Caenorhabditis elegans: one gene and its partners. The protein of the gene in region 2 interacts with the protein of the main gene of each other region in a pairwise test. Each region holds a gene or a part of one and is shown on either strand. Other genes may lie near its edges. The genes, in order: col-10, T19B10.5 and tgt-1.

What was found.
Region 1: the proteins of T19B10.5 (region 2) and col-10 interact in a two-hybrid assay, tested with the Caenorhabditis elegans proteins (one large-scale study listed by BioGRID).
Region 3: the proteins of T19B10.5 (region 2) and tgt-1 interact in a two-hybrid assay, tested with the Caenorhabditis elegans proteins (one large-scale study listed by BioGRID).

The regions. Positions count from the first base shown.
Region 1 is NC_003283.11:9,161,168-9,168,543, reverse strand, and holds col-10 (Cuticle collagen 10), read left to right. Parts: upstream 1-3,236; 5' UTR 3,237-3,253; coding exon 3,254-3,364; intron 3,365-3,414; coding exon 3,415-4,188; 3' UTR 4,189-4,252; downstream 4,253-7,376. Other genes in the region: putative aldehyde oxidase gad-3, read left to right, coding at 1-100; B0222.11 (uncharacterized protein), read left to right, coding at 503-646, 951-1,094, 1,200-1,274, 1,328-1,478, 1,542-1,697, 2,162-2,329, 2,381-2,613; col-145 (Putative cuticle collagen 145), read left to right, coding at 5,555-5,665, 5,720-6,493.
Region 2 is NC_003283.11:11,231,003-11,240,351, reverse strand, and holds T19B10.5 (PDZ domain-containing protein), read right to left. Parts: upstream 5,703-9,349; 5' UTR 5,682-5,702; coding exon 5,504-5,681; intron 4,983-5,503; coding exon 4,561-4,982; intron 4,512-4,560; coding exon 4,451-4,511; intron 4,401-4,450; coding exon 3,964-4,400; intron 3,918-3,963; coding exon 3,501-3,917; intron 3,453-3,500; coding exon 3,277-3,452; intron 3,229-3,276; coding exon 3,129-3,228; 3' UTR 2,920-3,128; downstream 1-2,919. Other genes in the region: ima-1 (Importin subunit alpha-1), read right to left, coding at 1-197, 247-544, 589-646; DNA-dependent metalloprotease dvc-1, read left to right, coding at 1,449-1,537, 1,586-1,642, 1,749-1,866, 1,915-2,203, 2,253-2,806.
Region 3 is NC_003282.8:11,954,722-11,963,558, forward strand, and holds tgt-1 (Queuine tRNA-ribosyltransferase catalytic subunit), read right to left. Parts: upstream 5,084-8,837; 5' UTR 5,073-5,083; coding exon 4,920-5,072; intron 4,625-4,919; coding exon 3,782-4,624; intron 3,181-3,781; coding exon 2,938-3,180; 3' UTR 2,826-2,937; downstream 1-2,825. Other genes in the region: gdh-1 (Glutamate dehydrogenase), read left to right, coding at 228-493; ZK829.7 (Enoyl reductase (ER) domain-containing protein), read right to left, coding at 5,523-5,748, 5,799-6,238, 6,293-6,534, 6,601-6,811. UniProt on the Caenorhabditis elegans protein: Catalytic subunit of the queuine tRNA-ribosyltransferase (TGT) that catalyzes the base-exchange of a guanine (G) residue with queuine (Q) at position 34 (anticodon wobble position) in tRNAs with GU(N) anticodons (tRNA-Asp, -Asn, -His and -Tyr), resulting in the hypermodified nucleoside queuosine (7-(((4,5-cis-dihydroxy-2-cyclopenten-1-yl)amino)methyl)-7-deazaguanosine).

The DNA of each region.
Region 1 (7,376 bases), 2.1 Mb from region 2:
TATTGATAATTGGAGAAATGAAAATGGTATTCATGAATTTGTGGATACAATTTCACCACTCAGTGCTGAAAAAATTCAAGAACTCTGTTCAAAGAAATAATTACATCTAATTAAATTTTATTTGTCTTCTTATAAATAAATTGTTGTATATATCTCAAGCCTTTTGTTGATATTTAATCCACAGACCATGATATTGATCATCTATTAATTCTTCGAACATTTCCATTCAGAACACTTTTGTAACAATTTAAATCGTTTTGAAATGAATTCGATGTGTTTATATTTTAATCAGGAGGCGTTTGGATTTATAAACGAGCGTCCGACAGGATTAGTGTGCCACTTTCTTTTTCAGTCCACACTTGTCCCCTCTCAACACTTTTTTGTTATTCTCTCACTTTATCCTCACCTCTCGCCTAAAGTTCATTTCAAATTTTTGATTCATTTCTTACTGTGTGAAATCAAGAACTAGACGGAGTCGGAGTGGTTGGCTCGAGATGCTTCAATGAGTCGACGGACTGCGTCGAAGTTACTAGTTTTTGTATTTTTATGCTCTTTATGTTTTGGAACTCAACGGTATGATATGCCGAGAAAAATTGACTTGTTTAATGATTTGATTACACAATCGACAACTCCAGCATCTCCAAAGGTGAATAATCAAATATACAACTTTCAAACCAAAGCATTTATAATTTTTGTAGTTTGTTTTAGTTTTTAATTTTCAAGTTTTCTTTTGATAATTGTTATTCTAAAAAATTGAAAGCAATGGGTAGTTTTGTTCAAAGTTCAAATTTATACAACAACGTCTACCTACTAAAAAATGGTATATGCCGAGTTTTAAGTTGATTCGAAAGTTGATCTCGTATAAACTAGCTGATCTGAACTTCCGAACTCAAAGTTTTTGCCGAATTAGCACGAAACACAAGTTCCCAAAATATTTCAAATGTTTTCAGTGCCAATGTCTTCCACCAACAACTCCATCCACCCCTCCAAACTGTATTCCTTACGATTCTCGATTGCAAGCAGCAAGTCTTGAAGAAGCTATTGTGGCATTCCCAGATCTTACCATTACTCGACAAGAGAAGACACAACAATCTGTAATTCTTTTTTTTTCATTATGTTTTCGGATCTCAATTAACTTTCAAATTATGGAAATTTGTTTTAAAGCTTTTTCGGAGTGTAAAGTAACTATAATATTTCAGACTGCAACACTAAACAACTGCAAAACTAAACAATGCCGTGATTGCTATAAAGATCTCAGAAGCCAGTTGCGAAAAGTAGGAAGCCTCTTGCAGAATCGCTTCTAGAAATGTTCACTTCCAATTTTCAGGTCGGTCTTCTTCCAGGAACCATTGACCAGGTGTTTCACAATCAGCGGAACTTCACAACTTGTCAAAAATATAGATTTGCAAGACAGGATAAAGGAGTCTATGAGAAGAAAAAGAAAGCCAAACAACATTATGATTGGGATTATGTAGAATGTAAGAGAACATTCAGTGTTCTTTTTTTGGAAAAACTCTCAAGTACAAATTGAAAGGTTTCAGATGATGAAGATGAAGATGATGATTACTTTTGGGATGGATTATTTTGGAAGAAGAAGAGAAATGTATTAAAGAAAATTGTAAAACGAGACGTTGAAGCTACTACTGCAATTTCACAACCACCTAACAGTACAGCAATGAACTCAACCGGAATTATAGGTTTGTATTGAAGACATAATTTTTTTTCTAAAAACTTCTTATTGGTATATATTTTTCAACACTCTGAAAATAAGATATATTCAAAACAATAATTTTAAGTGACCGTCATAAATAATTATGAAAAGAAAACAACCATTCAAAGGTTTTTTTAAAAATTTTTACTCAAAATGCGTGTATTGTTCTCCCTCAAAAAATTATTTCCGGGTCGTGAATTCCCTTACGAGAATTTCAATTCCCCTCGGGTGGTCATCATCTCAAATTCCAATCTTCTTTTTCATTTTCAATCTCTAACAATTTCAAATTACTAGAACCCACAAACCAATGTTCGATAACGGCATGCAACCTTGAGAGAGTCTCCGATTTGATGTGTAACCTTCATTAAACCCTGTAATACAAGTCATGTCGACAAACCAGATCTTCATCCCTTCAACATTTGGCAGAAAAGTGCAATTCGTCTTTTACAGGAATTCGATTTCCGATCTCTTGCACAACTCGAGGCGTCACTCCAGATGGATTAGGAACTGTTTCCCTTTGTAGTACATGTTGGGTGTGGCGACGTCTTCCGAGTACCTACTATCCTGCATATCTTAACGAAGTCGTGTGCGATTATGCGGACACATCGTGTCTGAGTGGTAGTGAAAAGACAGAGAAAGTGGGGGAAAAAGAAAATACCATTTTTTCAGGATACGCGTCATGCCAAACTGGAACCCAACAGTTGAATGTGCTACGAAATGACAGCGGGAAATTGATTCCAATATCGGTATCAGCTGGAATCAATTGTGAATGTAGATTAGCAGTTGGATCAACACTTGAATCACTCGTACTTGGACAAGGAATTTCCAAAGCAATGCCGCCAATTGACACAACTAGTACAAAACCACCAAATTTGGCAACAAGCACAACAAGCCATTCCTAATTTATTTGGGTATTTTACTCTTGATAATTGTATTAATGATCATTTAATGTTGTTGAATATCACACATTTAACATATTCAATCGAAGAAATATAACGACGTTCCACAACATCCAGTATACGTCTTCCTCTGTATTGAGTTTTATTCTTTGACATTGTGTCATGTTTCAGAACATAGAAATATACCAAAGTGTTGAGAAGCATTGTATAATTCAATTGAATCTTTTTCAGTTTACCTCTTCTCCTTTTTCACCGTTTCCGTCATCAAAACGCCGTTATTCAAGGTGAGATTATGGCGATAAATGAATGCCATTCACAAAATTGCAAGACACTATTAAAGAAGAAGAGGTTTAGAGATTTGTACCGATCATAGCTTCTTCTGAGAAAGCGACCTTGGCGGCCGTACTTGAAGAGAAGCAATTTTTATCGCCGTAGAAGATGTTGCCTGCCACCCACCCTGTACGTTGTTTTTTTGCTTATCAACATCTGAATTTTGTTGTCTTTTGCACCGCCTACTTTTACTATGGAATTTGAGGAAATATAATATGAATTGAAGAGAATACGCTACCTGTCAAAGAAACGTCACGGTTAGGGTAGTATAAAAGGGAAGGGTAACACTGAATAAGGTACCTGGCTTTCAGTCATGGAGAAATTTCTTGTAACCCTCTCTACCGGAGCTGCCTCCATCGCCGTTCTCGCCGTTCTTTTCACAGTTCCATCCCTCTACAACACCATCAACGAGGTTCACGATGAGGTAATAACTATTCATTATTTATTGCATTTTTTAATCTAAAATATTTATAGGTTCTCGATGGAGTCTCTGTCTTCCGTGTTGAGACCGACTCTGCATGGACCGAGATGATGGACATCCAGATCACCGTTACCCCACCAACCAAGCCACGTGTCAACCCATTCAACTCTATCTTCCGTCAAAAGCGTCAAACATTCTCTGGACTCCCAGCTTGGTGCCAATGCGAGCCAACTAAGCCAACTTGCCCACCAGGACCACCAGGACCACCAGGACAGCCAGGAGCCCCAGGAACCCCAGGAGCCCCAGGACCAAAGGGAGACGACAACACCGCTACCTTCGCTCCACTCACCTGCGCCCCAGTCTCCCAAGACTGCGTCAAGTGCCCAGAAGGACCAGCTGGACCAGCCGGACCAGAAGGACCAGCCGGACCAGCCGGACCAGACGGACAACCAGGAGCACCAGGAAACGCTGGAAACCCAGGATCCGACGGACAACCAGGAGCCCCAGGAGACAACGGACAAGACGGAGCCCCAGGACAAGACGGACAACCAGGAGCCCCAGGACAAGACGGACAACGTGGATCCGGAGCCCCAGGAGGACCAGGAGCCCCAGGAAACGCTGGACCAGCTGGACCAGCCGGACAAGACGGAGCCCCAGGACAAGACGGACAACCAGGACCAGCCGGACCAGCTGGACAAGATGGAGCCCCAGGAAACGCTGGATCCGATGGACAACCAGGAGCCCCAGGAGGACCAGGACTTCCAGGAAACGATGCCGCTTATTGCGCTTGCCCACCAAGATCCGCTGTCTTCGTCTCCCGCCATTAGATTGGTTCAAGACAAGCATCGTCTCTTTTCTTTTTATCAAAATAAAATCATTTTCATTCAAATTTTACTTTTAATAATACATCAAACTACAAGTTAATGTTTGCCGAACACACGAGAGACATTCTTATTTCAATAGTCATTTCGAAAAATTTCACTTTGTCTTTTTGGTCTGCCATGAAGATAAGTGTAATTCCACCTGACAAGAGTGCGAGGAAAGAGGCTGAAAGGTTTCATTGTTTAGTAGACGACAAAAATGTTGGTTGTAATAAACATAAAGTAAATGAAGTGTGTTTTTGTTAAGAATGGCTTAGAAAAAAGTGTAACTTAAATATCATTATGCAGTCTGTGACTAAAGGTCACTAATTTTTTCACAAGATGAAATGGGATAAAAGTTTCGCCAAGTTCGGACGAGTTTAGAGTCGAAAATTTGAATACCGCTTTGAGAAATTATCAATTTTTCTACGATTTAACTAGGAAAGACATCAAGGCTTTCAGTCATGGAGATTGCGAATAGTAGGAACACTAGTTTATAGGTACCTATCAAGTAATAAGAGCATACACATGTACAAGGGTTTTGCTGGTTTTTGCACCCATCGGCTGACAAAATACCTCAATCAGCGAAACAATATTCGGTAATATACCAAGATATGCAATACGAATAGTGACTAGTGAATAATTAATTTACACTAGTTTTCGCGAGTCGTAACATTGTCAAGTTGACAAAATTTGAGTTTTTACCCGGAAATGGATTATTTTTTCAATCTTCAAACTGTCATAACTTTTTTTGTGAAACTTTCTAGACATCTCATTTTAAAATGAAGTGCTTTCGAGGGAGATTTCGGAGTCTAATAAAGCAATGACTTACATTTTGTAAGGCCAGATATAAAATGTTCATCAATGTTTTGTTTTACATATTCATCAACAACCATTCTAAAAATTCAGTCAGGCGCACCCCGTGAGCGATCCAAGAGGTTTAATTGTAAATGTTATCATCCAGTCAAGGAATTTTAAGGTAACGCAAAATATTTCTAAATAACATCCCATCTGACACATTCAGATCGCAACATATCATGCAATCGCCTCGAGAGAAAGTTGTCCGTCCTTCTTCCTCTATCACCTACTGAGAGAAAAGCATTTCATCTTTGTCCGCTTTTTCTCTACGGCCTGCCCACTTTACTATCTTCCTCGTTTGTGGCTTCTGAATGAGGAAGTTGAGGCAAGAAAGACAAGAAAAAAAGCGAGTTCATGGAGACAAATGGAATATTTCATTACACATCTCTATGCAAAAAAAAACTGTATGAGTAATTCAAAAAGAGGAGTATAAAAGGAGGCAAGATAACTAGGAAAGACACCAAGGCTTTCAGTCATGGAGAAGATTCTTGTAACCTTTTCTACCGGAGCTGCCTCCATTGCTGTTCTTGCTGTTCTTTTCACCGTCCCATCCCTCTACAACACCATCAATGAAGTTCACGATCAGGTTTATATATATATACTTTTACAAAATAGTTAAAACAAAATTTCAATTTTATAGGTACTCGATGGAGTCTCTGTTTTCCGTGTTGAGACCGACTCTGCATGGACCGAGATGATGGACATCCAGATCACCGTTACCCCACCAACCAAGCCACGTGTCAACCCATTCAACTCCGTCTTCCGTCAAAAGCGTCAAACTTTCTCTGGACTTCCAGCCTGGTGCCAATGTGAGCCAACTAAGCCAACTTGCCCACCAGGACCACCAGGACCACCAGGACAGCCAGGAGCCCCAGGAACCCCAGGAGCCCCAGGACCAAAGGGAGACGACAACACCGCTACCTTCGCTCCACTGACCTGCGCCCCAGTCTCCCAAGATTGCGTCAAGTGCCCACAAGGACCAGCAGGACCAGCCGGACCATCAGGACCAGCCGGACCAGCCGGACCAGACGGACAACCAGGATTCCCAGGACAACGCGGTAACGACGGATTCCCAGGAGCCCCAGGAGCCCCAGGAGACAACGGACAACCAGGAACACCAGGACAAGACGGATTCCCAGGACAGCCAGGAGCCGACGGACAACGCGGATCTGGAGCTCCAGGAGCCCCAGGAGCCCCAGGAAACGCTGGACCAGCTGGACCAGCAGGACAAGATGGATTCCCAGGACAAGACGGAGCCCCAGGACCAGCCGGACCAGCTGGGCAAGACGGATTCCCAGGAAATGCTGGATCCGATGGACAGCCAGGAGCCCCAGGAGGACCAGGACTTCCAGGAAACGACGCCGCTTATTGCGCTTGCCCACCAAGATCCGCTGTTTTCCTTTCCCGCCATTAAATTTACTTTCATTGTATTCTCAATACTTTCCATGTCATAAAATAAAATTTTTACTTTGTCTTTCATATTTTTAACAGCCTTGTTTACCGATTGAAATCAGCTGAAAACATAAGGAGAAGTCAACAGTAGCACCCGATTGAAGCAATGTAGTGTAAAATCATGTAGTTACTCAACATTTATTGTTTGATTCAACCTTTTCTTCTGTTGTCCAATATAACCAAAAACAACAACAAAAACATTTTTGAGATACAAAATCATTGCTACATCATTAATCAATCTTCATAAAGTCTGATTTTTCGCTTCGAAAAAGAAGCGTTCAAATTAGAGTCAGCCGACCAACAATCTGATCCTGTTTCGAACACCGCAGGTGTCAGATGGATAAGTGACAATGTTGCGGAAGAAAGAGAGATGATGGGAAAAGTTTTGAAAAAAAAACTGGCTTTCCTTTTTTTAGGGATCCTTTGATGGAACCCAGAACTGTGGGAAACATTTAATCCAAATATTTTGGCTAAATAGTTTCATGTATAGGAAAGAACAACAAACATGTTTTAATTAAACATAAAACGCAATTTGAATTTGTTACATTATTGTATTCGAAGATACATTTAAAAAAATTAAACTTTAAATTTTAAAATTTCATCATTCAGATAAATCTGGCACATAAAATGAATACATGAACAGTTTTTTAAACATTGCTCTTGGGTGTTGTCAAATCTAATTCGGATGTTTTTCAGATTTAAGGCTGGATATCTTATTAAACAATTTTAATTGATTACTGACTTAAAATTCAAATAATGGTAAGAGTTTTTTGGAGCTTGTGCAAAAGCCAAACCACATGATAACTATAGTGCAAAAGCCAAACCACATGATAACTATATTTTAA
Region 2 (9,349 bases):
TGCGAATGATAAAACATGCTATCGACTGAAATGTATCACATAGAATGTCTTCACTTGAACCATATGTCGAGATATTGAAAACCAGCGATTGAATGCATCTGTCATCGGAAGAGTACCTTTCGTATTTCACCTCGTCAATTCCACTAATTTTGAGCAATGTTCGAGAAATAAGCAATCGCGTCGTCTGGCTTATGACTCTAAAAAACTAATTTCATTTTTCTCAACTGCATATTCTTCTCTTCTCACCGGTTACAGTAGACATCTGATAATTTATGAAGAATTTGGACTTTGACGAGCACATGAATAGTCCACACCGTGTTGTTCAAGTTTTCGTGTAAAACTGTCAATGCTTCATGAATTGTAGTTTCCTGCATACTTTGTAAACCGTCTGCTACTGATTTTAATAATTCCGAAGTTTCCTCATGGCTCAAAGAACGCTGGACGGTAATTTGTCGATTTCTTTCGAACTTTTCGTCTCTGCGATTTTTCCTGATTTGAACTTCATCTTCACGTCGTTTTCTTCGCATCTCATTTTGATCACGCACTAAAAATAATACAATTTTATAAGGTATTACCTTAAAAGCTCACCATTCGATTTATACATTTTTGAACGCTCTTCATGCGATGGCCTGAATTCGTCTCCCATTCTGAAATAGCTTCAGTGAGATGAGAAATAACTGAAAATTACAATAATTAAAAGAAAAGACAACACTACAGCTCTCAAATGTATGTAATTAGAGTCAACACGTGACCAACCAGATTTTGATTTATTTATTTTGACCTCGAAAGAAATCTATCGGAGTTTTTTTTAGAAATTGTAAACCTGATCTGCAGCTCGCATCTGAGCGGTTTCAGAGTAATGAAACAACATCATAAAATATAGAAAAGAAGTGGAATTATTTCCCGCGTGCCGCCAGTTAGGTCAACGGAAAACAGTTTTCCAGTAACTACCGCATGCGGCGGGGTTGCAAAAAACCCGCGCACTGGTTGCGTGTCGATTTACGAGGCACCGCCTCCTCTACAAAAATACCAACAAAAACATTTGTATTGAATGTAAGCCGATTCGTTTATTTATTCATTTCTGTTCTTGTATTTTTTCAAAAGTTAGTTTTGAAGTTTACATATTTCTTTTTTTTTCCAAAATTTGGTAATGAAAACATTTTTGGTGTTTGGATTTTTAAAAACAATTAAAAATGGATCAAATAAAATGTGTGAGATGTTTCAATGTTATTACAATTGAATATAATTGTTTTCTCTGAATTTAATTAATTGTAATCGTTTTAGAAGGAGCACAAAAATGAATTTATTCCCTGGTATGAAATAATATTGCATTAATTGAAGTTATTATCATAATTAAAGTATTCCTCCTCTCTAATGGATAAAAGTTTACAGTATTCTACTCGATTTCCACATCTCCATCGTTCACATAATTTCCGCAGCCACAAAGAATGAGTCGCAGCTCTCTCGTAGACCCGTCTTTTGAACTTTCGGATCCGTGCCCGGATATTCACGCGTTGTTCATCCAGTTTGATGCAAGGTAGATTCATAATATTGAGGTAGCGAAAATAAATTCTCTAAATTCTAGGTTTTTCGGTGGATCTCTTGCCTGTTGCGAAGTGAAATGGAGTCCCCGTATGTATGCGTGAGTGAAATTGGGAAGCTTTGTTGGCGTTGCTTGACAACCGAGCAAAAAATGGCGTCTCCGAGTGGGCACACTTCACAAAATATTTTATTGATCACTTTTCCAGATGTGCCGGAATATGTTCATATGAAATTCGTGGTGGTCGTGGAGGACTTTGTTCGATTCGGCTCAGTAAACCCCTGTTGACATTAAGACCGAGAAGTGATCTTGTTGAGACCCTGCTGGTAACTACAATAGTGACATCACAATCTTAGATTCAAGCACATTTTCAGCATGAAATGATCCACGCATATCTTTTTGTTAAAGAACGAAATAGAGATCGTGATGGTCACGGCCCACAATTCCAGGCCCATATGCACAGAATTAACCAAGCTGGTGGAACTAATATCACGATTTATCACAGTTTTCATGACGAAGTTCGGCTTTACAAACAACATTGGTGGAGATGTAGTGGACCGTGTAGAGACCGTCGCCCATTTTTTGGATATGTGAAAAGATCCTGCAATCGAGCACCCGGACCGAATGATAGATGGTGGAGTCAACATCAGCAAAGCTGTGGAGGTTAGACTTTATTTTTCTAATAAATATTTTTTCATTTTTTACATTTCAGGTAACTTTCTGAAAGTTAAGGAACCTGAAGGCTATGGACAAGGAAAAGGATCAAAGAGAACAAACGACAAAAATAAATCTGGCGGCCCCGCTCTTAAGAAAACTATTACTCCACCTAGAGTGACGCTTGATGACTTCTTCAAAAAGGACGGCAAAAATTCTTCGGACAATTCAACTTCAAAATCTCCAACTAAACCATCAACGTCCTTATTCACTGGGAGTGGTCAAAAACTTGGAGGTTCTTCTTCCACTTCATCGCTTCTTAATTCATATCCAAAAGCAACTCAAAACTCTGGTGGGAACCGACTTGGTGGTACATCTGGAGGAGTCAGCCGCCTCCTTCCACCTGTTAATTTCACTTCTCCTTCATCAGCACCAGTAGCAGAGCAAGTCATAGATCTTGGAGACAGTGACGATGATGATTTTCAAGATATGGACGATGATGCTTTGGAAATTTCATTTGTCGCTTCGGACAACTCGGTGATTTGTCCTTCGTGTAACACGGAGGTGATGGAAAATTTGATTCATGGACATCTGGATTACTGTCTCGGGTGAAGCTATCTATACTCATGTAATTTTTATTATGTACTACACTTATCTCAATCCCATAACATGTCAACAGAATTTTACGGTTAAGAATATAAAGATTCATCCACTGAACAAGTTTTTTTTAAAATAATGTTTTTATTTATATAAGATTTTCGTGAAAAGGCAGTAAATCTGTACAACTTGACGAAAGGCAAGAGTAAGTGCACTTGTGTCTATGATCTGGAATTGGAAGATGGAAGCGAGAAAATGGAAGATAAAAATAAATAAATAATATGTCTGTGAAATACCCAAAAGAACAATTTAACAATCATCTTGTAGTGGATGGGATTCATAAAACTCCCAATTTCCTCAATTCCTCTCTCTGCCTCTCCAATTCTGCGTCGTTCGCCATCAAACGGTCACGCTTCTCGCGTGTCAATGTACCGTATCTGAAATCATAAATTCAAAATGAGCATTCAACATTTTCAATTCCATACTTTTCATTATCTGTGCTGGGGGTCTTCCCTACTGTAGCAGTTACTGTAGATGTGATGCTTGATCTTGACGGTGTTGGAATTCCAGATGTGTGTGCAGTTGGTGGAGAAGAAACGTCACGAGTTTTTCGTAAATTTCCTTTCTTTTCTTGGTATAACCGACTCCACACATTGTCGTTCTGAAAAAAACCAATATAATAGTATTAAGTTTTAAAATTAATACATACCTTATCAGCACTGTGACTTCTTTGTGTCACACTTTTAGGTAAAGATGGCAACTTTCTCTCAATAACTGGAGTTTTTATGCTATCTGATCTTTTTGGAATCCTTGAAATTCTAGCTTCAGTAATCTCTGGACCCTTTGAATCATCCTCTTTAATCTCGACTGGAGCTATTTCAACAATCTTTTCGACTACAGTTTGATCTGGTGGTGGAGTCTTAGTCTGTGTTTCCATCTCCTTTCTAACTGGAATTGAGCTGATTGGTGGTGGAACAGGTGCAATTGGTTTTTCAGTCTGTGTTGGTCTAGTTTCAGCGGAGAGTTGGGTTGTTTGAGTTGAATCTTCCACTTGTTGAGATTTCTTTGGACTAGTTGCTCTGCTCACTTTTGGAGAAGGTGGTGGTTTGTTAACTGGTGATGGTGACTGAAAATTTTAATTTTTTTTCTGATCGAACTATTTTCAAACTTACTCTGGAAACCATCTTTCTTGGTTTTGGAGGCAGTTCGGTGCATTGCTCCAACTTTCTCAATGGTGGCGGAGTTGGAGACTTTACCTTATCAAATATGATATCAGTAACTTCAATTCTATCGCTCAATGTCTTTTGTGTTCCATCACTTGCTGTGCTCTCTCGACAATCCGATATTCCATCACTACCGTAATCACTGCTATCCATTCGACTGTTATCAGCATCACGAGCTTGACTGTTATCATCTGCACAAGTTGTAGAGTCTGGCTCGATGATTTCTCTCTGTGGTGGCAATGCGTGCTTCTGTTTGGAATCAGTTGAAGTACATCTTTGTGGAGTTGTAGCAATTGATGTTGGAGTTGAAATGGTTCCCAGTGGGTTAAAGTGGACATGTGTAAGAGTATTGCTTCGGAACAGTGGGTGGTATCTCATTTCTTTGTCTGTTGAATACAACTGATAAATGTCTAATTGATAAGAACGTTCCACTTACCATCATCACTATCACTGACTGATGCAGAATCAGAAAGTTTTCTTTCAAGCTCGAGCTTCACCTGAATAAGAATTGATGATGCATGAGTAGGAATATCGTTGTGAACTTACCTTGTATGGAGAAGAATAACTCAATAGAGTAACTGCATCCTCATAAACCATATTCTCAAAGTTAATAGTTAAAGATTTGATTTTGTCTCCAACTAAAATATTTCCACATTGTTCAGCAATTCCCTTCGAGATGATTTCTTTCACGAATATTCCCTCATTCATATTTCCTTGAATATTGAATCCAAGTCCTCCAATATCTACACCACGTAGTTGGACACCAACTTTTCCCTCGACCTCATTCAAAAATTCCATAGAGTATGCTTTCTGAGTTCCTGAATCTTCCATTTTCCTTTTCAGCTTGAATGAATCAATCATTGTCATTTTGTCCTTATTAATTGATTTTGGAGCATCACATCCTTTATCTTCGACGTCACAGGCATCGTTGGCATATGCTGATTTTTCATCTGTTTCTCTAATTGTACCTGAAAACTTGTTATTAAGGTTGTCATTTGGTACAAAAAGTATTGTTTTTTTCAAATCAAAATTCTTCATTATTTGTATTTTGATTTTTCGTCTTTGTTTCTGAACTAAAAGTATCTTCATCTTTTGCAATGAATTCATATTTTTGCAAACATTTTATTGGAATGACAAAACAGTTATAATTCAAGACAACCTACTCTGCCTTTTGCCTATTCGCATGCCTACTGCCAAAGTATACATAACAAATTAGTTTAACTGTTTAATTCTATAACAAGCCGCGGAACCCAGTAAGTTCTAGACACTGATAAGCACGACACTTTGCATCTGAATTTGTCAGAATATTCCCAAACTGCAAAAGAGCGGCAGGTAGGTACGTGTGCCTGAATGAATTTCTGCCTACCTTGTGAGTTTCTATCTGATATGCACCTAATTTTCTCTGTGTGGTTTTCTGTAGCTTTGAATTATATTTTTGATAAAGCTTACCCAAATTATTTTAGAATACATAGAAGAATATAAAACTCACTTGATCTTCTGTACCAAATGTATAAAATAATAGCAAGAGCAGCTGAAATCAAGAAAGCAGCAGCAACAGATCCAAATATGACTCCAAAAAGTTGTCCCCTGCTAAGACATGTATCATCTGCCATTACATATTGTACAAGTGACAGTAGTAAAAGCAGTGATGTAGGTTGACCACCCATGATGTTATGTGGAATGAAGATCTGAATACAGAAAAAAGTTGGATGAAAAGAAAAAAATAGTTGAAAAAAGGAAAGAAAGGATTGGTAGCAGCATGAGGGTTGCGGTTCGGCGGTTTCTTTCAACGACTTTCGAGATATTATCTGCGCTAAATCTGTGAAGAAATAGTAGAGGAAAACATTGAAAAAGAGGAGAGCATTGCGGGAAATAAGAAAAGGTAACACGAACAGTGAAGAGATGTCAAATGTCAAATTGAATTTGTTTCCAAGGCGATTTATGAAGGTTAGATATTGGAAAGTGTCCAAATTTGCAATTATCTGGATATCCATGGATATTTAAAATGTCTTATTAACATTGGAAAAAAGATCAACCATAAGTTTCAATTAAAAAATTTCTACAAAAAGGCATCTCTAGGAGTTTTTTTTTAAGTTTAGCAAAATCGGGCATTTTCACAGCGTTGATGGGATTTTTAGACGATTCGATTTTTTATGCACCGGGCTGTTAACTAGTATATACGTTGAGCATATTATTTTACCCATTAGAAACACAGTCGTTTTGTTTTCAATTCAACGACTAAACAGTTTCAAGATGCTCACGAAATTCAGTAGGCAAAATGTTCTGATAAATTTCCGAAATTAAAATGAGAGAAAGTTGAAATATTCCGCAATCATAAAATGATAAATTACGAGGAGACGGATAAAAGAGGCTATAGGTCAAATTAAAATGAACAGATTGCATATGTGAATGATAAACAAATCATCGTTATCAAAAGTTTCCTGGGGACATTCCGAAGTGTCTTAAATACTTTCAGTTTCTAGTCAACCTACATGTAGCTGAAAGGGTAAAGTTTCAGAGACAGTTACATCAGAAATTGACTACAAGGGACAGAGTACTAGAACATGGAACATGGAGCTTCAGAGCATTCTAGTGATTCACTGATAGTACAAAACATCTGATAACGGCTAGAAATTTACATTTGATAATTAAAAAAAATACTCGCAAAAAATAACTTTCTGGATAGAACAAGTGATGAAAACTATTATGAAACAGACAATTAAACTACATAAATACAATAAAGAAACTGTATATAATTTGTAGTTTTCCGTTTTATTATTGCTTTGATTTGACACGAAGCCACTTTCTGTTGTCCGAAAAACTGATCGTTTTGTTATGTTTTTTGAAACCAAATAGTACAATGATATAGGAGATACAAAGATATCTCGGATTGTTCATGCAAATGAATATATATTCGGAAAGTAAGGGAGAGCGGTACGACCTTGAGTAAGGAAAGCAGCAGGTGGACACAAGAAGAGACAGTATTTGGGACGAGTGATAAATATTCGTAGAAGGGAAAAGTGTTCCGTGCTGAATCAAGAAGTAGGAGATGAAGAAGTGCGGAATCAGAAAGGGCGGGGGAGAAGCTGTTGATTTATTATATTGTTTCAAAGTGTGAGAAACTGATGATGATAGGAAGGGATTTTATTATCAGATGGTCAAGTTCATTAACTTTTTGGTAATCTCAGCAAAAGTTTTTCTACTATCTTGTTCTCAAACCTATTTGTTTTACGATATTTTTAAAATAAGGGAAGCTGGACAAAACAACATATTACAGACTAGACATTCCAACCGGTTTCCCAAGGTATTTACCTTTGCAATTTATTCTTATGGTATTTTTCAGTTAGTTTTATTTGCTCACTTTTTTTTAACATGCATTCCCGGAAAAGCTCCGAAGGTAAAAGGAAAAGAACGAGTTTGAGACGTAGTCCGTGGTATCTATATTGTTGGCAATTTATTTTGATATTTTTATACATAGTAGATACAGTATTTTTCTTATTAGACTTGCAAATCTACTATGACGGCTTATATTTTTTTATCTTTGATTTTATTTTAAATTTTTGAGTGTTGTTAAAGTATTGATAACAGTGTAGAAGTTGATTAAAAACCCAAGTTTACCAAGATATATGCAGTAAAAGTAAAGTGAGCTGCAATGCTAGTAGGAAATTACGGCAGCTTTATATTTCCAGAGTTTATGAAAATTCAGAAGTGGAAAGTTGACAAAGATAATTTTAAAAACATTTTTGTTTGAGACAATATTCGAATATATCTCTTTTTGTGCCCTTTCAATAGAAAAAAGGTATGTGCTTTCAGAGGAAATTTATGAAGATCAAGAATACACAAAAATTAATTTAATTATTTAGGAATTTTGAGTGATAATATTATTCTGAACATATTCACTGGTTGTTTCAAAACAATTCCATGAACTCTAAAACAAATGAGCAGATTGAGTAAACTTAAGAAATCAAATCATTCGAATCGTTTTTATAGAGTTTTGTGAAACTAAAGGACAAAGGGCACAGGAGGAGATTATGCTGATTGACTGATAAACAAAAAAAAACGTTCATTTCACTATTTTTTGCCATATAGAAAATGATAACTTTTTGATAACAATGAATAATCTTGAACAGAGGTGGGCTAAGCTGATTAAAATTTGGGTAAAGTCCACATTTCAAGAATAAAAAAAAGTTCAAATCGAGTTACAGCTACACTATCAATCAGATTTCTACGTTCTCATAAAGTTCTGGAGACAACGTTTCCTTGACTGTTTCCAAGGAAGATCCTAAATCAGAATAAGCGAAGAAGCGGTTCAAATGTTTCATCGAAGCGTGATGAATTTGATGTCGGGATCCCGCCAGGCAAAACACAGAGAGAAAGAGAGATCGGTCGCGCTGCAGGACGCAATAATCCTATTACACAATCGACCATACATGTTCCAATTTCCCAGATACCTACTTTCCATTGTCCATGACCAAGAGTGAAGCTGATACCTTAAATCGAGCATGTTTTGAAAAAATGCCTACACTAACTTTCCTACTTCAAACATATAAGGTTAATATTTCCATTACTGAGCAGCAAAATTTGTGAAACCATTCAGGACACGAAACAGTCATTTAGATTTGCACCTTTGCAGAAAAAATTAGTTGCGTTAAACTCTTAGGCTGTCAGGCCAGACTATAGGTCAGAATCTGAGTCTTAGGAACCTTTCAGTTTAAAATTTGAGTTAAAAATGGAAACCTAATTTTTCAGCAGTATCATAGTTTTTTTTTTCAATTGTTTTGGTATTCTTGGAAATAAATAGACTATAAAGTTTAACTTGTAGATAGGTTTCGAGAATGGCGCGCAATAAAAAACGAATTGAAAAAAGTTGGCAAAAAGTGTCGATAGCAATGAAAAATCTATCCATCATCTTAACATTATCATAAGGAAACACGAAAAAAGTGACAGGGAGAAGGGTGGGTCTTTCCCTCTCATTTTCTCTCATTTATCCAAAAGAAACTTGTTGGAAACAAAACAAACGGAGAGAACAGAAGGACAAACGTTCCTCCTTACATAGACTGATAATAAACTGTTTTCTTATCATAATCTCCATTGGCAGCAGAATGAGACAAAAAACTTGTATTTTTTCATGAAGGCAAACTATTTATACAATTCCAATGAGATCACCATTTTTGCTATGCACTTTTTTATGAAGAGGGGGAAATGACGACGAGTACATTACGGTGTTGATTGGAAAAAAGGGATATGGTGTTGATTTTATGGATGTTCGATACAATTGGCATAAATGTGAAAACGTGAAAACAGTAATACGGTTTTTACTAGATCTACAAAAATG
Region 3 (8,837 bases), on a different chromosome or scaffold from region 2:
TTGCGTAGAGTAACACAATGAAACGATTTGCAAGTTTTCATCTGTGATAAAATTTTGTTTAGAAACTAACAAGGGCTAGATACTCTTACGCTTGTCACACTTTTCCGTTTATTTTATGAGGAGGGAGAGGAGGCCACTCAACCGTTGTCGTGAAAATGAGTACGTATGCACTCTAGGAAACAAATTGTAAATCAATTCTTTCTGTTTAAAAATGTTTGAATTTTCAGCCTCGGTCCAAGAATCTCTCTCCAAGGCCGTCGGAAAGGATTGCCCAGTTGAACCAAATGCTGCTTTCGCTGCCAAGATCGCTGGAGCTTCCGAGAAAGACATCGTTCACTCTGGACTCGAGTACACAATGCAACGCTCCGGAGAAGCCATCATCCGCACCGCTCACAAGTACAACCTTGGACTTGATATCCGTACTGCTGCCTATGCCAACTCCATCGAGAAGGTCTACAACACCTACAGAACCGCTGGATTCACCTTCACATAAGTACCCACTTCTCACTCATCTCATGGCTCTTGTATCCTCTTTTATGACATCAAATGGCTCCAAGCCAGGTTTAAATAGCTTCGTGTAACCCTTTAGTGCCTTTTCCATAGTTTTCTGTTTCGAAACTATCTAGGTTAACTAAAGTCTAGCTCTGATCTTTTCTGCCTGGTTCGTTCTCACTTTAGTATAATTAAATATTTTATTGGTTCCCCACCCCTTTTCATCCCCACACATAATTTTTTCGTTGTTTGTTGGTTCGGGACGGTTTCGAGACGGAGACCATTCTTCAAAAAAAAATCTCAAAAATAATAAAAAGTTTATTTCCTTAAACACTTCTACATGGTCATTGCAATTTTCCAATGATCATTGGAAAAGAAATTTCAGGGAGCATTAAAAACTTTATCAGACTTGTGTCTTTCTATTTACTATAATTTAGAATTTTCGATAACATATCACTTTCACATTGTGTGCCACTATCAGCTTCAAATTTGGGAATCACCTCCACAATTGTTGCAAAATTTTCGAATTGTCTAAACGAAGTTGATGCTTGGCCGTTTCCATATCAGTTGATCTTTTCCGGCAAAACCTTCGTCGTCAAACTGATGCAATTCCTGGAGAGAATGAAAAGAAATGTTGAAAGATTAAATTGGGTGATCGTTTGAACGAAGCTAATCTGATTGGACAAAAAGAAGAAATGATAAAAGATGATAAAGACAGTTTGGAGGGAATCCCCCATTTCGGTTCGAAGTGTACGCAAATGTTTGAGGGAAATATTTAGAATTGGAGATTTTTTTGAATTTTTGCAGTTACAGAGAAATTTTGGAATGTGCATATCGTGTAGTTTCACAGATTTTAATAGCATACATTTTCAAGGCGCACGGATTTATTCAGACGGGTCTCGTCGCGCCGAAAAGTTTATGGTAGCCTTCTAAAAATTCAAAAAGACTACCATAAACTTACACTTTTATAATATTTTGGTCTGTGTTTGTTCCCATGAAGTTTCAGAAAAGGCGAACCAAAATAAATTATAAAATTTTAAATTTCAAAAGCTCAATAAAAATCCATATAAGCCTGGGTGGCCATCATCTTCATCATCATCTGACGATTTTTCGTTGCATTTTTCATCATCTTCTCACTGCCAAGTTCATTCAATTCCACACCGCTCGTTTCGTCGTCGACAGTCGACACTGCACCGCAACATAAAAAAGCGTTGGCTGATGGTCTGATCTTCTCTGCTTCTCTTCTCACTCTCGCTCTCTCATCCTCAACGATTAGAGACCCACGTGGGTGAGAGTCGCAGAGATATTTGCGGAAACCGATGTCATGGCGCGACGAAAAGAGAATCGTCTCGTTTTTTCTCGCTTTTGCACGTATAACAAGTCGAGGACAAAGAAAATGTGTTGGGTGGGGTGACATCTGAAGTCAGATGATGACCGGGAGATGATTGGGGGATTCCCCTTAAATCATAGGATCATGTTTTGGCTCGAGGTCAGCTATCAGGAGGGAGCTCAGGGCCACGTGGTATTTTTGTTATGAGGAAGTTCGTCCTCTATTAAAATACAATAGGTTAATATTAAGCTGGGGGTCAGCGATTAAGTCATTAATTCTGAAACCGAGATGCAAGAGCGCTCCAACGCCAAACGAAATCGCTCCGCCCCCAAACGTTGAGTCTCGTTAGGTATTTCGTCGACTTTATTATTATTGGCTTTTTCGTCGTGAGACCCATGGTGCCATACAAAATATTATATTCAAAAGTAACTTTTTGATTTCTGTTCCAGTTGTAATAATACCAGACATCTCTACGGAAACAAACAACGTGTGTTTCTTATAGTTTCCGTTGATTTTTAATTACTTTATTGTTACTGAAACCCATTACACCACCATGTTTAGTGTTTCAACGAAATTCAGAAGGACATCGCCGTGGGCATTCTCTTATTTATGTCTACCGCACGCCAATAGGTTCATTATTTGCCCTTTCTCCCCCTGTACAGTTGCAAATTGACTTTCACTTGGGCTCTCAGATACAAAATCATCAGTGAAACAAACACGTGGCGATATGATGAGGTAGTTGAGAAAAGAGTTCAAACAATCAATTGTGGTCGAGGAGGAGAGATAGGCGGCTCTGTGCTCGAGAGAGAAAACCATTAGAGAGCTCACTGAGTTTACACAAACTCGAAAAGCAGCACAAACGAAATAGCACGAAACGTTCTGTATGTGGTGGTGGTGTTGGCTGGGGGAGATTCTGTAGAAAAAGTTTCGAGTTTGAACTTTCGGTCCTAAAGGGAACCACGTGTCTAGAGATAAGAAGCCTGACATTGGAATTTTACGCGATCTGGAATAAAATTTATTATAATTGATTGATAAGATTTAAAAAAATGTATATGATTCAACAACAATTCAACAATGACGAATAAGATTAACAACAAAACAAAGAAAATCAAAAATCAAAAATCAAGCTTATATCCCATATGATCTACAGCATCTCTGACCCATTGAGGAACTTCCCTCATCTTCTCAGAATCTTGTTTCGATGGATTTTCAGATTGAATTGGTCCATAATAGTCATATAGGAATTGCTTCAGAAATTGCTCAACAGAATTCGATTGAATCGCTTGACGAACGTCTCGCATAAGATCCAGTTGATGTTTGATGTTGTGAACTGATACTAGATGACATCCTACCGTTTCCTGGAAAATTATTGAGATTTAATTAAATTTAGCTAAGAACATTCTCAAATTTGTTCAAAATGGATCTATTGAGACTTGAATTTTTTTTAAAATAAAATTCGACATCAAATAGTATTATTGAAATGTCCAAAACTTTGCAAAAAATCTGCAAAAGTCTAACTTTTGTAGGGTGCGTTTATGAAACTTTTTTAAACGTATTTTGTCAGGACTACGGTAGGCCCGATAATGACGGGATAACAGGTAAGTAACTATTGGAAATTGTGTTTAATTTTGCAAATGGAGACATATTTTTGTGATGCTTTTTTCTCTATTATGTGTAACAGAGAGAGATTTTTTATTGATTTTTATGGTATTTACTTTGACAAAAGTTTTTTTTTGGTTTCATGGTTTTGACAAAAAAAATTGTGTTCGAACGTTATTTTTATTTTTTATAATGTCGTTTCTAAAAAGTGGTCTGAATATTTTCAACGTTTTACGGCAAAATCTAATTACGTTTTCAGCTGTAAATCATTACAGTTTTGCAAATAAACGGAAACATGGAAAATTTTGAATTTTTTAAATCAGTAAGTTGAAAAATACATTATTTTGAAAAAAAGCTCACTTTTCCAACAATCGAATGAATATATGCTCTCGTATAGTTCTTGCATGTATTACATTCACATTTCTTATCAATCGGCAAAAAATCTTCCTTATATCGTTTCTGATTCAATTGCATCAATCCACCTCTTCTGACCATTGCTGTTCCAAATCTTGCAGTTCTTGTTGGATATACACAATCAAACATATCAGCTCCCAAAAATGAACAGATTACTAAATCAACTGGAAATCCAACTCCCATCACATAACGAGGAAGATGAGGGGGTAAAGCTGCACAGCATGCTGCCACAACTCTCCAGAAATGATCCTTTTCTTCTCCTCCAGATAATCCTCCAATTGCAATTCCAACTTTTGCTCGTTTCGCCATTTCTTTAGCACATTCTTTCCGCAATTCCAAATTAAGACCACCTTGTAGAATTGGAAACATCGCTTGATCATCTCTTGTATGAGCCACTTTACATCGATCAAGCCATCGAATACTTCTATGCATTGCTTCTTTTACAATATCACCAGTTGTCAATACATGAATTACATGATCCAACTGCATCATAATATCAGCACCAAGTGCTTGTTGAATTTCAATTGATTTTTCTGGTGGTAAAGCCATCATCTCTCCGGTATGAGGACTTTCAAAATTCACTCCATTTTCATCAACTGTCATGAGTTTGCTCAACGAGACCATTTGGAATCCTCCAGAATCAGTGAGAATTGAACGATTCCAGTTCATCATTTTATGTAATCCACCAGCAGCCTTAACTCGTTCATGACCGGGACGATGTCCAAGATGGTACGTGTTGCAAAGGAGAATTCGACAATCCATCGAGACTAGTTGTTCCGGTACGATTCCCTGTAAGTTTATTATATATGAAACTGCATAAACTCGAGAAAATATTTTTTTAATTTTTTTCAGGGAAAATCGAAAAATGAGAATCTGAAAAAAAATGTTCATAAATTTAACTTGCTGTAAACTTCATAAAATCTCTACTTTTCAAAAATTTGAAAAAATTTTCACTGAAAGTTAAAAAAAAAACTAACAGGTTTTATTTTTTGTATTATACTTTATTATGATCACAAACAAATTTCACATTTTTGAAAAAGTTTTTTTTTCAATTTAGAATTTTTATTCTTAATTTATTCCATACCTTCATAGTTCCCTGTGTTCCAACAGGCATAAAAACAGGCGTTTCGACGATGGAATGTGGCAAATGAAGATTTCCACGACGAGCGAATCCTGCTCTCGCCAGCACGTCGTACCTCATATCTGCCTGGCACGTCGGGAGCGGTTCCGGTGTCATTGGAGACTTCACTTCGTAAGTTTTTTTTTCGTTAAAATAGGAAATAATTATTTTTATTCCAAGTATAATTGGTTATGACCTTTAATGAAGTACTGTAACGGTAATTTGTTTTTTTATAATATTCATTGAATTCGTTTGTTTACATATTTTTTACAAACTAAGATTACCTAACTAAAAATTATTTTCGTTCTCATGTTAAAATTATTTGGAAGGATGCGGATCTAGAGCAAGAAACGGGAGAAAATGTGGATTTTATGTTACAGGGAATTTTTGAAAAGCAGATGGCAACACTATACTCAAAATACCGATGTCTGGGAAGTAATAGAGTAAATGCACAGGATGAAATAAGACTTTCTGACTATATAATTATGAGTGAAGGGAGTCGGGACAATGTATGAAATGGCAAAATGGGAAATACAATTATTACACCTTTGGAGGCTTATTGAGCAATTATTCGGAAGTGGCGGCAGGAATTGGAACACCGCCGCTCTGATCTGCATCTAATGCTGAAGAGGGATCGCAAACTTCGAGAATGGCACGACCTTCAACCTCCGACATCGACAATTGCTTCAACACTGCAGACGCTTGATCGACTGGATAAACTCTGTAGTCTGGAGCATCGATTTGGCCTCCGGCAATCAAATTTACAAGGTTTTTCAGTTGTTCGATACTTCCTCTGGAAATTTTGTAAATGAAATAAAGAAAGAAAAAAACTTCAAATAGTACCTCGTAACTCCCATAATGGCCAGTCTGTTTTTAGCAACGTGCTTGATTGGAAGTTGAACATCAAGACCGGAAAGACCTCCAACAAATAAGACACCACCTTCAGCGAGACACTTCAATGATCGAGTGACAGTTCTTGGAGATGTCACAAAATCGAAAACAACATTGACACCGGTACGAGCCACATCCTTAGTTCTCATAATCAGATATTCTTCAAATTCGGAATCATCCCAGTGTACTACAAAGTCAGCTCCGTTTCTTTCGGCCAGAGACAAACGTTCTTCTTTGGCATCAGCAACCATCAAACGGATCTTTTTATCATTGTTGATCGCTAGGAAATGCTTGGCGAGTTTAAGAAGCCAAAGTCCAAGTCCTCCTGCTCCCACGATAAGAATATTGCAGAATCCCTTTGATTGTGAAAACGCTTCGACTATCGGTCTGGCCTGGAAAAAATTGTTGATTAATACTGAAGAAAAAAACCGTGGAAAATGTCAAACCTGAAGAACAGCAGACAACGCCCAGGTAGCTCCAGCAGGCAAAATAGATGCTACATGCATTGAAAGAGTTTCTGGAATTTTCACAAGAAAATGGAGAGTTGGAACAGCAACATAGTCGGCATAACCATGACTGCACATCTCATCAGTTGGCCATACGATTACTTTATCTCCAATAGTCAGATCATAGTCACCAGGTGTGCATTCAGCGCCGAATGACTCAACAATTCCGGAAACTTCATATCCTGCAATAACGGATTTCGAAAATGTTATTTTCATTAGTTCAAGCCAAATTAATCTAAATTTCAAACCTGGAAACAAGCTGGTATCTTTGATTCCGTTGGTAATTCTTGCTTGCTTCGTGTTGGAAACTTCTCTATCAGTAAGGCAAACTCCTGCATAACAAACTTTAACGCGTGCTCCCTTTGGTGGGACATCTGGGATTGGCTCCTCGTCGAAAAACTTCACTTCCCGAAGATCCTTTGGAGATCCCAAAGAAATTCTTCGGTTTGTTGCTGGCATTTTCTGCAAGGAAAATTAAATTAAATAGGTTGAATAAACACTTCAATATCAATAAATTTGTTAACAAAGAATAAACCATCAAAGTGAGAGCATGGGTCACGTGTGTGTTTTTTGAAGAGACACAACTTTTTAGAGAAAAATCAATAGAATCAACATTGTAAACACTTGGAGAGAAATAAAATATTAGTGTTTTCAGTTTAAATGATAGAAAAATTGGTTCAATCACTTGAGACATTAAACTTTGTTGAGAAACAACGTGCCGAAAACAAAAAATCCGATTGAAAAACGGAAAGTGCGCCTAGTCACGATAACGGGGTCAAGAATGGCTTTGCGCACTTTGCGTGCCTTTTGGCGGAATTTTAAATACTAGTTTTTAATAAAGAAAACTTTTTTGCATTTTTCCGGCAAAATTACAGTTACGATTATTATGAAAGAATCTACTTGACTTACAATTAGAATTAGAGATTCAAATTAACTATTGATGTTTTGAAAGCTCTATCAACTTAGGCTTTTTGAGAATAAGCTTTTTAAGTAACCGGAACAACAACTAACTGACATAAACTTTGTGAAATGGAAAACGAAAATATTGCAGATGAAAAATAACAGTGGGAGAGTAACGAGACGCAGGACCCTACAGATGCCGAAGCATCTATTCGTCCCTCAATACATGTGCTTTTCACGTGCACACAAACGAATTTCATCATGACTTCTAGGGGAGAATGAGAGTAGAAAAAAATCTCGAATATTTTCCAAAAAATTGAAACATTTTTCAAAAAAAAAGTTCAAAAAAAATAATTTGAAATATCTCCAAAAAAATCCAATATTTTGCAAAAAAATAATTTGAAATTTTTCCATAAAAAAGTTCGATAATAAAATAGTTTGAGTACATCGAAAATGAGGAAACATCAATTTGTGGTTCGACGTTGTGAACATTTGAAATCAATAGATCATACACATTTTAAATAACTTCATAAACGTTTTTTTCCAAATCTATAAATGAATTAATCAACGTTTAGATACATTGGTTTTATCTTTTTGGAATCCCAATATCTTCAATGCAGAATTTCTGTGATCTGATAATGAACAAGTGATAACAACTGGATCAATTGCAGGATAAACGCTTAGTATAGGCACAATATATGTTGACAGTATTATGAAAGTATTTAAAAATTTCAAGAACTTATGAATCTATAACCTACACTCCATAATTATCACCGGCAAGTGGGAGGAACCATACAACAAATAAAGGGATGATTGTACTTATTAATGGAATTATAGTTTGCGCAATTAAAGATTTGAGAAGACTTGAATGTAATCTTTTCGTAGTACATGATAATGTGCATGCTTTCAGTGACAAGTGAATTTTTCGTGCAAAGAAAACATAGATGATCATAATAGAATTGGTGATAACTGCGGCTACAAGCATTCCCAGAATTCCACTTTTTGACCAGTCATTCACGGGGTACTGTAATTGTTTTTGAAGGGAACACTCATATGATATGATGAGCAAATATCATAGTACAGTCAGTCAACATTTTGAAGTTTTTTTTTAACTTTCCGTCATAAAGTGGTAATTACTCAGTTTTCACTTATTATGATTTAAAAAATTGATCAAGATACATTTTGCGTTGTATGACTTATTATTTGAAATTATTAATATATTCAAACATTATGCGAGGGCCAGCTTGCAACAATGTCTGATATTAATAAAAATGGCCAAACTTTTTGAAAATTCGCCAAATTACCAAAACGTTAACTGAAAACTTTAAAAAAAAACTAGAGCAAATTAAAATCGATATTTGGTCTTTTTTATATATTCTGAGTATACTTTCGTAGTATCCTATCTTACTATACTGTACCTTTATATTAAATGTCTTTCAACTTACAATTCTCACCTCATAATTTGCAACAATCATTGCCAAATCTCTACTATTTGTGTTATGAATTTCTTTGAACTTTTCATCAATTAGATCATATATGTGATCATCAGGCCACATAATTATGTGACCGATGAGCAGCCAAGAAC